Drosophila melanogaster: one gene and its partners. The protein of the gene in region 1 interacts with the protein of each later gene in a pairwise test. Each region holds a gene or a part of one and is shown in the gene's direction. Other genes may lie near its edges.

Evidence for each region. The genes of interacting proteins can lie anywhere in the genome.
Region 2: the proteins of Stacl (region 1) and CG42820 interact in a two-hybrid assay, tested with the Drosophila melanogaster proteins (one large-scale study listed by BioGRID).
Region 3: the proteins of Stacl (region 1) and CG10343 interact in a two-hybrid assay, tested with the Drosophila melanogaster proteins (one large-scale study listed by BioGRID).

Annotation. Positions count from the first base shown.
Region 1 is NT_033778.4:15,398,651-15,404,454, forward strand, and holds the start of Stacl (Stac-like), read left to right. Parts: upstream 1-2,445; 5' UTR 2,446-3,733; intron 3,734-5,804.
Region 2 is NT_033779.5:8,388,936-8,394,824, reverse strand, and holds CG42820 (uncharacterized protein), read left to right. Parts: upstream 1-2,426; 5' UTR 2,427-2,529; coding exon 2,530-2,949; intron 2,950-3,016; coding exon 3,017-3,541; intron 3,542-3,615; coding exon 3,616-4,740; 3' UTR 4,741-4,944; downstream 4,945-5,889. Other genes in the region: Peritrophin-15b, read left to right, coding at 21-292; lectin-29Ca, read left to right, coding at 555-1,265; Acp29AB (accessory gland protein 29AB), read left to right, coding at 1,614-2,318; CG42819 (uncharacterized protein), read left to right, coding at 5,556-5,889.
Region 3 is NT_033779.5:18,700,844-18,705,399, forward strand, and holds CG10343 (uncharacterized protein), read left to right. Parts: upstream 1-2,629; 5' UTR 2,630-2,709; coding exon 2,710-2,817; intron 2,818-2,884; coding exon 2,885-2,994; intron 2,995-3,066; coding exon 3,067-3,493; 3' UTR 3,494-3,611; downstream 3,612-4,556. Other genes in the region: CG10376 (uncharacterized protein), read right to left, coding at 784-2,070; Jwa, read right to left, coding at 3,911-4,534.

The DNA of each region.
Region 1 (5,804 bases):
GAGGTACCTTCTCCGGGGTCCAATACGTGCCACTTGAGAGGTGCATCGCTGTGGCATAACAATGACAGCGTCTCCACTGACCGTCGACCCGTAATTAAAACTCAATTATGTGGCTACGAAGTTGACAAAGTGGCCACATCAAAGTAGATAAATTTCATTTACCGCCTGAAAGTGCAATCATTACACTTCGTAAAACTTCGCACAGCAGTTCCGATTCGTTCACACTTGATAGGTCAAAGTGCAGATGGCAAGTCCTGCGATGGCAATCTACCAAAGTTTCCAATCACAAGTTGTCGCAATAATTGAGGACATCCAGCAGTTACGGCACCACGACCAAGGTGCTACACGTATGCGTGTGTGAGGGAATACTGCGGCAAATGCCAACCGCATTCTCAATGAGGCATCCTCAAAACGTGTCCCACCAGCAACAAGTTCGCCATTTCTGCGTAACGCATCGATAGAAAATATATAATTCAAGCCGAACACTAAAATACCAGAGAAATCACATGTAGTACCCAAAAATAAATAAATTAGCAGATCTAAGGCCAATTTCAGGTAACTCAAATATAATGTGGTATAAATTTCCGCACAATATAAGCTGCATTGAATGAAAGCTTTCTTTATATTTAACTTACTAAATGAAGTATAAACAAATAAATAAAAATAGATTTTAAACTATGTTTTAGAATAATTTTTGATTAGATAATGTAAACATTTCCAGCTGATCAGCCATTTGTCTTGTCGACCTCTTGAAAAATTGAGAGTAGAGCAGGACCACAATTTACTGATGGAATTTTTACACAAGTTATTTATTTTGTTTCTATTGCTGGCCGCTTCATTCATGACGACTTCATTTACTTGACGAATGTGCCCGTGCAGGACGAAGGATCCACGCTGCTGGCTTTATTAATATTTATAAGTTGGACTCTCTAGCAGGAGCTTAGCCAAAGCCGCAATAATTCCCCCGACCACGCAATCAAAATCAACCCTCTTGGAAATTCCGATGGCTGGCTGGAGACAGCCACTTGGTTCGCTTAACATTTTCAATTTCAATCTAATCTAAATTACATGATATGCGCACAATTTGAACGCTAATGAGCAAGGAATTTGTGGTAAGATGGTGGCGGAGCAACGCTGCGTATGCGCAACATATTGCGTGTGAATTTTAATTAAAAACTTTTCTCACTTTCCAACCGAGATAATCTCTGTCCCACCGCCTTTTCCTCGAAATCTCCCACTGCGAATCGGATGTCCTTTCGTGTTGGCTGCTGTTGTTGCTGTTGCTTCGATTGCATCGATTTTCTGCTAACTTTGAACGGTATTTGAAAGGAGCTTAAGCTTGTTTCTTTTATTTGCGCTACCTTCGCGCGAAACCCGATTCCATGGGCAGCAAACAGGACCAGGTTGGCTAACAAATTCTTGGAGCTATTCAGCGGTTAGCGGTTGGGGTAAACAACTTCTATAATCACTGTAATGCGATCAAGCATAAAGATGGCTCTAGCTGACCGTTTATTTAGATGGGTAAACGGGTAATCCTATTTTTAGCCATGTTTATTAGACGAGAACAGCTTCTTTCACTAATGCGATTTAAAGAAAGCCTAATTTTTTAAAATAACTATACTTAATTAGTTGCAATCTCTTTCACATTTACATCACCCCTGCTAAGTAGAGGGTATGTGGTAGTCGAAGAACTCGTCTATAGCGCCCTCCCTGATTGTTGTAAAGTTGTAATAATAGTAATAAGTTAAAATATGTTGGTAGAGGATTTCAATGAGGTATTTTATTTCAATAAAATTCCGCTTAGAACATTCACCATTCGTTGCATTCCGTTCGCCCTCTAACCTGTTAACTTGGTTTTAATTTACACTTAATTACGTGCATTGCCGTGGCAAAAGTGCAACAGATTGCTTCGTGGATTGCTTCATTAATTGTCCTCTGTTGTGGCAACTACCATCCTGCCGCATCTCCCCTCTAATAACACATTACCAAGCTGCTGGTCCTGCTATTTAATGGCCTCACATGTGTCGGGAGATAGGGACAAAAATTAACCTTTGACCTGAATGTGTACGGTATCGCGTCACTTGGCTGTGCAAACAAATTGTTTCACGTCAAAAAGTTCCATTATTCGATTATGAGCCGGTCGAATAATACATTAGTAATGCAATTAATTAGTATATAAAGAATTCCGTATTCACACCGCCATCGGCACCAAATGATTAACTTCCATGGCAATTGTTTTGCTTAGGGCCCAACCACTTGCTTGATTCCCTTCCCATAACTGCTCTTTTCTGGCCAAGAGCACCTGCCCGCTCTTTGGAATTCCCAGTTGCTTTCTCTTCGTTTGCCCACGCAGCCGCATCAAGCTATTCCGAAAATAAAGCAGCCGACTTGTGGACGTTGCGTATACGCAGTGTTGTCGCCGCCGTTCGTTTGGAACCACTGTTCAGTCGCTAGCTGGACGTGATGTTGGCCGGAAGAGCAGCACGGCAAACAAATAAAGACTTAGCCAAAACAGCTGAACAATAGCTGAGCTGAACTGAACTCCAGGCCGTAACAAGTGTGGCAGTAGTTAGGTGTTCGTGCCGCTGAAACAACAAGTATCCAGCACAGTACTTTCTATTTCGGTTAGTCGGTCGGTCGGTTGGTCGTTTGGTCGGTTTGTCCGAGTGTGTGCGTGTTGGCCACCTAAGTCCTGGTGCGTGCGTGTGTGTGCGCGCTAACTGTGTTTTTGGATGCAAATCAAAGCGCAGCTCACCTGAAAAGTATGCTTTAAATTTTTACTATCGCCACTCCGCGTGTGTACTTGTAACTCTGAAAAGTTTCTGTTTCTGTGTTTATTTGACTACCGCGGCGCATTTACATAAGTAAACTTTGGCATGCGCGCGGCCTGCTGCCGCTGATGTAGATGTAACGACGTCGACGTTGGCACTGAATAATTAATGCAATCAAGCAATTTGAACCCGTTCCGCCGTGGAGTGTGCCTGGGCCAGTGCCACAACGGTTTCAACGTGACCATAATGAGAGCTCCCCAAGCTACAAGTCACTAAGTGTGCCCGAAAAGCCCAATAACACAAAGAGATAACCTGACCAAAATTCGCAACAAAAAAAAAAAAAAAATACAACACACAAGAAGCCTGAGGAACAAGGAGGGAATACACTATATTTTTCGACAGAACTATAGCTATACTATACCATATTAACAAGAGAGAGTCTACTATATATGTACTTACTTAGTGCTAACTGACCACGCATATTCCAATCATAAATTATCGTGATAAAAATTCTTAGGCGCTGAAAGCCAATTTCAATTTTCACCCAAAAACGATAGAAGAAGAAAAGCCCCTGAAAGAGAAGAGAGAGAGAGAGAGGGATATACGCTGTCTGCAGACCAACAAATTACTAATAATAATTTTTAGATTTAAACGACAACAAAAACGAGACTAACAAACATCTGCTGGCCACACAAGGAACGTATACAAATAAATGCGGGTATATAGCAAAATGTAGACAGCTTGGCAAATATATTTCGATTAAAATATATACCAAATTGAACTGGACAGAGCTTTGACACGAAAACCAAATCGTTTGCCAAGTGAATTTTATGAAATTCGCCTGATTATTGCGGCAACAATAGAGATAAGATTCGGAATCAGAGGAAAAGCGTTTAAGTGAATGGGAAAAAGCAGCCAACAGGTTGTCGACGACAGATAAGGCCAACATTTTCTCGAAATTGGTAAGTTGAAATCACAGCAGTGTAGAACGAATGAAAAATAATGAATGTGGCACTTCATTTCTACCACTTGGAAGGATAGTCTGATTTAGAAGTTTATTAAATGGTATGCTAAGTTTTGTCAATGATTTTATTTTGCTAAGAGCTTTGCCATCAACTAATAAAGGAGATTAAGCTTTGAAAACTTGATTGAAAATGAATTTGGGTTTCTGTGGAAGCTTAAGTTTTGCCAAAGTGAAAGAAACTACTGCAAGTTTTGAATAAACTAAATAATTTCTTTAGCAAAGTTAAAGTTTGACAAAAATCATTACAAACTAAAATGGTCATTTGGCTACTTTTAAAGCAATTTTCTTAATTGCATATATTTCGTGTTGGCAGAGTGCATTTAAAATTCTTTTTAAGTTTACTCACCTCACAATTCCCAAATCTGTATCCATTAATTAAGTGCAACTACTTACAGCTGAGAAATGTGATTAAAAGAATGCTATGCAGTTAAGAAATTAAAGTGTCATTGGTGACTTTCTTCACTCCTGCAAGTTCGTCGCTTTTTGCAAAGGTCCTGCGCACGGCTGCCCAATTCCTCCATCCATTATCCACGTAATCCCACTCGTCACGAGATTCCATCCGTCAAATCCCATTCCCGCCCAGCAGCAACATGTAAATGCTCCTGTAGTTCCGGAACATATGTGTACGAAATGAAAAGATCCCAAGGAGTAAACTGTAAACTGTAAAAATACTGACCATGTCGCAAAGTGCCATAAACAATTTTACAACATTTTTGCTGTCATAAGATTAAATGTGCATAAGCTGGAGGAGGGGCAAGGACAAGAAGAGCGCACTCCTCCGCAGGAGGATGAAAAAAAAAATGGAAAGTGCTAGGGAAAAAAAGGAGAAAGCTGTAGGAAAAGCTGGGCAATAGAGCACTGCGATGGGCGAAAGCGAAACAAAAGCAATAACTATAAAACAAACACGACAATTCGCTTCAACTTTGGGGCTACAAAAAATGGCTGAACACACACAGACAGAGGCAAACCGACTTTATGTGAAGAAAGAAAACAACGCTGAAGAACAACGGAGACTCACAGATACGAATACACTGGGTGAAAACTGAATGATTTAAATTACACAATAAAAGTATTGATTTAAGAGTGCTGGGCTCCGGTACACTGCAAGATAGGTTAGACAATGTAAACTTTAAAATATTTAAGATTTGGAAACTCCTTGGGGTTTAAAGGAATATTATATGGAGAGTATTTATGTTTTTCTCTGTAATATGTCTTGCATCGCTTTGGATTTTCTCACTTGAAGGACCCCACTTCGATTCCAGCACTTTTACTCGCGGTGTACACATACACAAGCCCATGTGCATTCATTCTGAGCTCCTTTTTTATGGCCGCTGGCGGTGGGTGTTCGTTGGTATGGTTTTGTTGAGGGTCGACTGGGCTATAAAGGTATGCAGCAGGCAGCAGACGACAGCATCCAATTACAAAGTGAATATTTCGAGACTTGTTGGTTTGACTCCCGCCTTTACGCTCGGGCAGCATATCTCGGTTTCCTTCCATGTTGACCTTAACATTTATTTCATCTGCTCTCTTCTCGGCTTTGTGTGGCAGCCTTAAAGTGACTTTCAAGTTTTTGGTACCGCCGTTACTGTCGCTGACCTGATTCTGATTTCTTCTTTAGTTGCACGAAAACGAGACCACCGAAAACACCGGGTCCATTCCCAAATGAAAACATTTTACGGGGAAGCCCCCACGGAGAGTGGTGTTAGTAGGAGGTCCTTGGGGGGAATAATGAGGTACGCGACCGTGCCCACTTGAGCACGTTCTACATGAACTGCTGGCCCAGCCGGCAATGGTGATGATGGCATGCTAATAACGTCCAACGACCACCTTCCTGAATGGCCAAAATACAAAAAATAAAAAAAGAAAACAAAAACGCTAAAAAACTGAGAAAACGACCAACATGTTTCGCCACGCTTTCGCATTTATACATGGCCTGTCATTTTAACATTATCCGCGCGAAAACCCCCCGATAGCTATCGGTGCGGTCCTGCTGCTATTTGACTCCGGGA
Region 2 (5,889 bases), on another chromosome or scaffold:
ATAGCGGAATTCTGTTTCAGCTTTAGTCCTTCTCTTCCTGACCCTCTGCGTTGCCATCTACGCCGACCTTGACTGCAATCCCGATGGCAATGGTGAGCCCGATTGCGTGGGACGCTCCGGAGAGATTTCCCGTGACTTCTGGGATCCAACCCACTACTGGCAGTGCTCTAGCACCGGACAGGCCGAGCTAGTTGCCTGCGAGCAGAACACTGGATTCGATCCGAAAACTGGAAGCTGCGTCGATTGGAGCGTTTGGCAGTGGTATCCTCCATGTTCCGAAGCATCCACTTAAGCAATAAACTTCTCTTGCAGTTTATACGTTTTTCATTAACTTTTTTTGGTTCATTTGTAATGGTATTTAACTGGGAAGATGGGCTTGAATGAAGTCTAGAATATATCTCTAGATTTCTCGGATCTTTATCGAATTTTTAACAGAGTATTTAATGCTTGAAAAGGTTAATGTTCCGGGTGATTATCTCGTTGGGAAGTGTAAAAAAAAGGGTTAGTCCGAGGAGGAATTAAATAATTGATCTCACAGACTATTAGCCCTCGAAATGTACAAGTACGCAACTTGCATTTTCTCCATTTTCGCTTTATGGAACTTTTGGGGCGTCAGTGCCAAAAAGCAGGATACTTCCACAGGAACAAATGAATTGCCAAAAGCACCAATGCCGTATTATACAATCGAGAATATTGATATGCACCAGCAGCACTGGTTTACCTACAATTCGCTAAGACAAAATGGAACTTTGTGGAGAATTGGTAATATGGAGCAACGCTTAGAAATGCGATTGCAGTCCTTTCAAAACCAGATGGAAACTAAACTTCGGGCTCTAAAGCAACAAATTGAACCCTACATGGAAAACGTTAAAATGTCCAACAAAATCAAAATGTCCGTATTCAAGAAGATTGGCTCCCGGCACTTTTACTTAGAAAAGCAAAAGAAGATGCCCTGGGATAGCGCATACGACACGTGTCGTCAAATGGGCGGTCACCTGGCGAATATCCTCGATGAGAAGGAGCTGAATGAAATATTCTCAGAGGAAACCAAAAAAAAGTACTGGGTAGATATCAACAGCCGTGCCAACGATGGAGCGTCCTGGATTTCTACACTATCCGGAAGGGATGTACCATTTCTGAAATGGAAGCCAAATCTGGCCACAAATATACATAACCATTGCGTGTATATCAATTCCAATGAAATGTACTTTGAAAATTGTGCCAATGATAACTATTTTGCTTGCCAAGCCGAGCAATGGGCCTGAATATCGAGCATTGATTTTTAGAACTATTTTAAACTTTAAATGTGACTTTGATAATAAAGGTTTAAAAATTGAACTCCTTTAAACTTTAATATGTATTTTTTTTAAATCATCAAAATTGCAATGTGTCTTTAATAATAAAGCTATTAACTTTAGGCATTTTATATTTTTTTTTTTCAATACACCATAGTAGATTTTCATTTTTTTTAATTTTTCCAGCCTTTTTGCTTTTCACAGTGATGCTTTAAAACGGTTACATTATCATTAAAAAGCGTGACAAAATTAGTTGAGCTCATTGGAAGTTCTTTAGCCAGATTGGATCTCACACGCTTGAAATCTTCCAAACTGGACATGTACGCATCTAACCTCTTATACCTGTTGGCATTATGGAACCTTTGGGATCTCAGTGGTGGGCAGCAGGACATTCCGAACGGAAAGGCTACATTGCCAAGTCCACAAACGCCGCAAAATACAATCGATCAGATTGGTATTAACCAGAATTATTGGTTTACATACAACGCGCTTAAACAAAACGAAACATTGGCAATTATTGATACAATGGAAATGCGCATAGCAAGTAGCTTGCTGGAGTTTAAGGCCCAGATGGAAATCCAGCTTCAGCCGTTAAAGATTATAATGCGACACCATGCATCCAACATCAAAGCGTCTAACAACATCAAGATGAGACGATTCGAGAAAGTTGGCTCCAGACATTTTCACATCGAGAAGAATCTAATGCAAACTTGGTTTGAGGCATATGTCACATGTCGTAAAATGAACGGTCATCTGGCGAACATCCAGGATGAGATGGAGCTGGATGGCATCTTGGCGTTAGCACCCAACAATAGCTACTGGATAGATATATCCAAACTGGTTGAAAATGGCGGCACATTCGTCTCCACCCTAACCGGACGAGAACCCTTCTTTGTCAAATGGAAGAGTAATCAGGATACAAAAAAAAAGAATCAATGCGTTTACATCTATGCTAAAGAGATGTCCTATGATGAGTGTTTTGAAAAAAAATCTTTCGTTTGCCAAGCAGACCAGTGGGCCTAAACATAAAGAAAATATTGTTTTGTAGCTTGAATAAAAAAAAACAGCTCGTTTAATGATTTTATTGTATATGAACACAGTGTAGACAGGTCTGCACTGAGTATTATTTCCAAATTCACTCATTCAAGCTATTTGCAACACCCACAAAATTTACCAAGTTTCTTAAATTGTTTGTTCTTCGTTTTACTTGTGAATTTATCCACTTGCTAGGAACATGGTAAAGAATACAGGTGTTGATTTGGGACTACCCGTGGCTAGTTGGTATCGTGGTCTATCGCTCGATCAGATGCAGGCGGCCGATGAGCTGGGAACGGCACTGCAATTCGATATTAGGTCCATTCGGGATTGTCTGCTGCGCCTGGGAGTGCAACCTTTGATCAGAAATCGTGAACTCCATAGAATTTGGCGTTTCAGTCGTGGCCAGAAACTGGCCTTTCTCTACTTTCTATTCCAGGAGCACTACGACACCGGCACTTCGTGCGGAAAGTACTCAGTTAATGGACAACTTCTGCTCTCGGCCATCGCCTATCTGGATTTGCCTGCAACTTTTCGAGCTCTAGACAAAGTGCTACCTCTACCCGGTGTTTTATGTGGGCAAACCAAGATACAGATGAAAAATCGACAGATTAATAATGTAAGCTGCTAATTAGAGTTAAAACTATTATATTAAAAAGAAGTTTTGGTCTTTTGCCCTCTTTCAGAATCGCTCTGCTCGGCCTTCCATCATAATACCGAATTCTAAGACCTATCCACAAAATATAGATGAAGAAATGCCACTGGATCTACCGGCTACATTTCGAGCTCTGGACAAAGTTCTTTCCTCGCATACAACTAAAAAGAAACCATCGTCTTCGCGCAAAAGCTACTACTTTCAAAAGCAACCACGTCCCAAAACCACTCCCCGTCGGTCTAATCAGTTTTTGTCGGATTCGCCGCTGTTAAAGATTCAGATCCCTAACGAAGTGGGCGATCCCAAAGAAGATGAGGACCGTTGGTATGCCGACTTCCAGTTTCATCCCATCCAGCGAACAGTTAAGGCAGTTATCAAACACGAACTGTGTCACCTTTTCGACCACATAGACGAGGTTACCACGGATCCTGCACAGAAAGCGAGGGATCTGTGCGGGTTCCATGAGGAAACTCGAACCCAGGAGCGACAGGCGTTCCTGCAAGAGCAGCGACGACGCTATTTGGATATGATTGACTTGGAAGGGACCGCAAAGCGAGTGAGTAATCCTATTAACAAAATTATCTATAATTAATTTATGAATAATTGTTGACATTCATTTCTCTGGTGAAGCTTACAAGGGAACGGATTTTGCATCACATTAATCGCGACGTGGATGAGTACCTTCTAAAGTTTGGTGACAAGGGCTGGAGTCCTGGTGTGCCTGCTTTCCGGAAAGCCGGTTGTGTTGCTTGCAACGAATTGGTGCACGTAAGCTTGGACACTCCTCCCCAGGTGCTACTCCTCGAAGGTGAATGGGGACGTCTGTACGACAGGAGTGGTGCGCTGATGCGACTCTGCGCTGGTGAGGATGGCGAACCAGATGTATTGGCGGAGGAGGAGCAGGAGGAGGAGGAGGATTCTATTGCCATACCTGAATATTTCACGTCACCCGGAGACCACAAGCCCTTCGCCTTCAACTATCCACACGTTTTCAAAAGGAACAGCAAGCAGTCTTTGGACACAAATGATGTCGTTAAGAAGTCCTTAATGGAAGCACTCGGTGGCCAAAAAAATGAGCATCGACAAGGAGTCCTTGCATCGGGGCCGATAAGGAGAAGTCACATCAACGAAGCCGTGTCCCGATGTGTGAGAAAAATCTTTGAGAAGAGTTTGCTGGCGGTGCCGACTACGCCGACACCCAAGGATTCCATCGAACGCCTCGTCTACAATCGCGAGCGAATCGATCCCGATGATGACAAGTTCATGGACCAAATGCTAAGCGATGGCTTTGAAATCTTGCGTCGCGACAGCAAACTGGTGCTGGCCAGCCTCCACAATGGCCATCAAATTCCGGAAGTACGGGAATGGATTTGTAGGAGATATGGTAAGCGATATGGTCCACAAAGCCATGCGGATTTCGAAAGCTACAGACACAATATGGCTAAATTGTCGGAGATGGAAAAGAAATTGATTCCGCTGCTAACTAATATAGATCCGCTGATCGTAAAACAAAATCCCATTCCATATGCACTGCACAAGGAAATTATGGAAAAATCCAACAAATTTAAGAAGTCATTTCGCGATGAAGTCCTTCAGATCGTCCTGAAGCAATCCCGTCTCTGCTGGCAGGCGCAGCACAGCCTGCGCTTTGTCAACAGTTCCAGGATTCGTCGTACCTTTTTTACTTATCTGCCCAGTTCTGTCAGGAGTATAGATCCCACCTTCAGCTACTACTTAGCTCGTAAAAATGGCTAAGCACACCTTAGCTCCTAAATCAGGATTTTTTGTAAGAACAAGATTTTACAATACCCGATGTAGTGGTCATGACTGACTGACATTCAATTATTTGAATCTCTAGTGCGTAGTGATAAGTTCAAGACTAAATTGATATGTTTTTATACCTCTGACTATTTTTACCATTTGACAAGTAGAGCTTCTGAATATAGAAATGTATATGTTTGATGTGTTTTTTCTATTTTATTAAGGGATATTTGGCATTAAGCTATCATAAGATTTAAAAAAATTTGTGGACGGCTTTTGTCTGTGCCTAGCCGACCGTTTATGTGTTCCATCCTTGTCTAGGGGAGTGCTAACTTGCTCTCCTTCCAAACAACACGTTTGGACCACACACTTGTCGCGCTTTATAAGCACTCCATGCGGAAAAAGAACTTGGGAATTTTAAGAGCCCATTGCATGAAAATTAGTGATATGCATATAACAACTTTTAATAATGTATTAAAACATATTTATGCAATGTGTATTTATTATAATTTTCCATAACTCATAAAAAAAATTATTCTGGCTAACATTGACACTGAAATTAATGGGCTGATTGATTTCCCGTTTTGGGCACCTGCAACGTGACATTGACGACAACTCCAAATGACCACAAGGGCCACTGGATGACCCAGTCATTAACCAAACGACCACGTTTTACCACCAAAAATTGATTAATCCATCCACGTAGTACCCGAAAAACATATAAAAAGACAGGTAATGAACAGCAAAGTTATCAATCAATCAACAACGGTTCCCTCATAAGTTCGTGTATCTCTTGCGTCAAAGCCAATATGCGCAGCTACGTGAAGTCATCCTGTTCCTTGCTGGTTCTGGTCCTGGCACTTGGAGCGGTTTCAGCTCAGCCAGCACGGCTGGCAAAGCAACTTCAGAAACAGCAGGCAGCACCCTATCCATCCGCCGACGAACTGAAGCCGGAGGTGCCATTCGAGGAAGGAGTTCCGGATCAGACATATGGACCACCGGATCTGACCTACGGCCCACCGCCTACCGATGCAGTTGAGCAGCTACCCAGCGATGAGGAGCCGCAAGACTTTACACCCGATCCGGATGCAGAGGAAGTTCAGCCTGTCCAGCAGGCACCCGCTCGCCTGACCAAGCAGATTA
Region 3 (4,556 bases), on another chromosome or scaffold:
ACTAAGCGGCCGAAAACAACTTCAATGTGTATAAATATGCTTGCTGGCTAATCTAAAATATATGTAAACATATTTATGTGCGTAATTGTGCACTTTTTCTATATACTATTGGGCTAACAACAGTTGCCTTAACTTGTTAAAATTTCGTTCAACTGCTGAGCAACCACAAAATATTTTGATTGAGCTTATTCGAGCAACCAAACAAGTGGACCGGGATGGGGTCATCCATATTCAGGACCACGTAGGCACGTGAGAATGTGACAATAAAGGTAGGAGCACTCCGAACAGCTCCAAGCTATTTACATTACAACAATAACGTAAAGTAAACGAAACAACAATGGGCCGGTTTGGGTTAATTCTCGTTGATTAATTTGCAAATGTAGGTTCGGAAAGTAATCTTTGGGCATATTATTAGTTTTTAATTAGGCAAGGACTTGGGTTCTATCATCTTGTAATACCTTATTTTCGTTGTATCACATTAAACGATTGCGTACGTTCAATAATCTTTTAGAAAATGGATTATATTACTTATATTCCCACAATATGCATGCCAATATCAAGTGTATATTGCGTTCTTGAATTGTTTAAAAATATTTGGCACATTTTTCTCTTTCGAATACGTAAAATTTGATATGACTTTTCGTGTTATCCCACCACACAAAGGGCGTTGATTCAAGATTACTTTTCGCTTCTACGACTTTTAAGTTGCTTTGAATTTGTACAAAATTAACCCATCCCAAGGCGGGTAACAATATAAAAAATTTGCTGCTCGGACCTAAACTTTTAAAGATGTTCGATCTGATGTCGCGGTTTGAGCAAAACCACCACCGCTGTTATGTTATCCTGGGAATCCCGCTCCTTGGCAGCCTCTATCAGCAGTTTGGGAATGTCGTCCAACTTCATTGTGGTATCCGCTAGGGAATCGTAAACGGTTTCGATTATGAGCGACTCGGGCACATGATCCCACAGGCCATCGGTGCCTAGTACGAGAAAGTCGTGAGCCTCATTTAACTGCACATCCACGAAGTCCGGCTCTGCGATCACTGCCTCAAGGCTGTAGTCGCCAATGGAGCGGGCCACGTTAAGAATGCCATTTACACGCCACTGCCCCTGGGCGTGGAGCACTGTTCCACCAGCTGTTTCTATTCTCTTGCGCTCATCCGGATTCTCTGGCTTGTGCGGTTTCACCAGCTGCAGTTGAGTCCGCTTGCCCACGAGAAGGGCCTTGGAATCGCCCACCCAAGCGATATAAAGCTGATCCTTTGTGATCAAGGCACACACGCTGGTTGTGCCGCTGGTGATCTTCTTCTGGGTGAAACGCTCGTCGGCCAGCAAAAATGCCGACTCGAAGGCATTGCGATAAAAGTCTGGGGAGAATGCAGCAGGATCTGGATTTGCTTTAAGCTGATCGGCTAGCAGTTGTGGGAGTTGGCTGGTTGCATAGGTGGCGGATAAAGAGCCAGAGTGACCATCAAAGACGCCAAAAAAACGGGTGGTCTTGTCCAGCAGCTCGTACATTTCACCAAATCGATCCAGGCAAACACAGCGATCCTCCATTTTGCGGGGTTTGTTCTTTACAGCGGCAGATGTGTGCAGGGGTTCTTTCTGCTGGTGGCACTCGCAGTTTTCCGGCGCCGCCTCATCAGCGAAGTCCTTGAGGCGATCCACCTCCGAGTTGTCGGTGAGTTTTAGGATGTACTTCTCAAACTCACTGGCCACGAACTTCTGCAGCTTGAGAAGATCGTACTGCGGCGGACCCTCCACGGTGACTTCACACTCCTTGGCAAAGCACAGATCCTGCTCCAGCTGCTGTGTGCTTCGATGGAGTAGCTTAATCCGGAACTGCGCCGGACATCCTCGAGTCTCCAGTTGTTTCCAAATAGCTGAGACCAATTCGGCATGACGCTCCTCGCCGGACACTTTGTATGTCTCATTGGCCGTACGAGTTACACAACTCCGGCTGACCACCTCCTCGCTTACGGCTGCTGCCTTCTCCGCCGTGCTGACCAGAAATCGCTTGAATTCCATCAGGTGCGCACATTCCGATGCGGGAATCGCATCTGACGACATACTTGTCGTGGGTCGCGTGTGCCTCAGTTCCTGTTTCCGCTCCTAGTGACGCCGCGCGATCATGAGCTTATCAATGCTAATTGTTGCTCAACGATGATTCACGCGCGCACTGTGCATTTTATGATTTTTTTTTATGTTGTTATTGTTTGCGTTCTTCTATGTTATTCTGCTGCGAACTGAACTGTACTGGCTCGATAACTTTGCTATGCCTATCGAAATAGATGCGTGATATTCCCACCTACGAAGATTGTTTACCCTTCATCTTCGGTTTCATCTATTACGCTTCATTTCTCTTTTTATTTATTTTTTAATTTTGATTGAAAACCTTTAACTGCATTTGGAAACATAAAAAAAACTTCAGAAGTATTTTAAATGAAATAATAGAATATATTTATAAACATAATTTTAATCAAGCCTTTACAATAAATAACAAAAACACCTATTTAGCCTTTTTAAGGCTTCGCATGCGGACCCAGTGGAGACAAGCTATAACTGATTTGAGATAGAACGGCCACACATCCACCGGTGGCCAGCTGATTGTTACTGTTGCTTTTGTTTTTGTTACAAATTTTGATTTTTGTCTTGTTTAACAAAAAATGATAAAATCTTGAACAGTAAAGATAATCCACACAATTTACTATGAGCACGCCACTGGAACAGCAGACGGAAGAACGGGAGGCGTTGCAGTCAATATACGAGGGCGACACGAACTTCAAGGAAATAGATAGCGTCACATTTCAGTACAAAGTAAGCCACATGGATAAAAAAAAGCACACAAATATGATAATTTGTAATATAATAAATGAAATTTTAGTATGGCGAAGAGGATAACTACAAGTCGTTCTTGGTCGAGCTCAAGTGGGGCGAAAATTACCCCGATGAGGCGCCAGCGATCAACATGAACGCGTTTTACAATAGGAATCTGTAAGTGGATCGTTATTCCTTGGGAAATTGGAGCAGGTTTAGCTCTAAAGACTACGCTTTCCTATTTAACAGACTGCCAGCTGTCAAGGAAGGGATCCAAACGGCTCTGAGTACGGAAGCGGACCAATGGCTGGGCTGTGGCATGACCTATACCCTGTTCGAATGCCTTAAGGACAACCTGGAGCAATTGACCGCAGAGCAACCCGAATCTGCACCCACGGTGGCGTTAGTGGATGATGGCGTGGGTGCTCTAAAGATCTCCGATCCCAATGCCGATGCGGAGTCCAAGAAAAAGGAGCCCAAGAAGGAGCACCTGACTAAGGCGCAAAAGCGCCGGCAGTGGGAGAGAACCGATCACAAAGGAGACCGGGAACGTGGCTGGGATTGGGTGGACCTCGTCAAGCATTTATCGCAGACGGGTGGGAAAAACGATGATTCTCTCACTGCCGCCGAAATTGCAGCGTCCAACGCTCCAGCTCTCCACCCCCTGAACAACTAAAATGCCTACCAACTAAAAATAGGAGTAATAACATCGAGGAAACCTTAAATTGAAATCAAAAGCCAATACTATTTTATGTGATAGAATAAACGCGAGTAACTGCATGGGCGGCTATCATAAAGTCTATATCTTGTTTACGCTACTAACTATCAAAGGTTTCAACTTTTGATTTGGGTGAGAGGATTGGCCCTTATAAGATAACATTATCTTTAGAGGAGCAACACAGCGAAATTCCTGGGAAAACTTTATTGACATTTGTAATATTTGCGTTACATGATGGCTGCATAAAATCATAGTTTAATACAAAAGTAAAAATCAAAATCGATTACAATACCGGGATTTGCTTTGCAAGGATCAACATTGACAAGGATAACTAGCGATAAAAACGATCATTCCAACTGTGTCAAACTGGTCAGTCTAATTAAAGACGCCTTCGGCCCGGACATTTAAGGCATCCAGCAAGGAGCCCATGGGCGTGGAGGGAGCAAAGCTCTCGATGCTGTTGGTCAGCTTGTTCTTGATGTTTCGCAGTCGCAAGGAGGCGTGGATGAAGGTCAGCGAAATAGGTAGCAACACGGTGAAAATCGTCAAAAGCACTGCGCTCAGCAGATGCAGAAGAAGATAACCTCCGAGCAGAGCTCCAGCCAGTATGTACCATTTCTGTTGGGCATTCTGCTCTGCTGCATTGGCATTTCCACCAGTCAGACGACTGGCGATGAAGTTCTTCTTCGACTTTCCGCTGAAGAACTGCCAGATAACGCCTATGATCAAAGCCTGCACCAGCAGACCAGTAATAATCTTTGAAGGATTGAAGAAAATCATCAAAACGTAGATGGTAATGAAGAGCAAAAAGTAGTTTGTTTGGTAATAGAGCAGGTTCTTCACCACCCGATTGCCCCACTTCTCAAAATCCTTGAGATTGGGCAGTTGGAATCGGGCCGATCCCAGGATGAAGTCATCGAGGGTTCGCAGAGGCGGCAACTGAAGATTGCCGGACAAGGCGGCGGCTGCATCGCCCACGGAAGTGGAGGGCGTTGTCATGGTTTTTGGGTTATTGCGGATG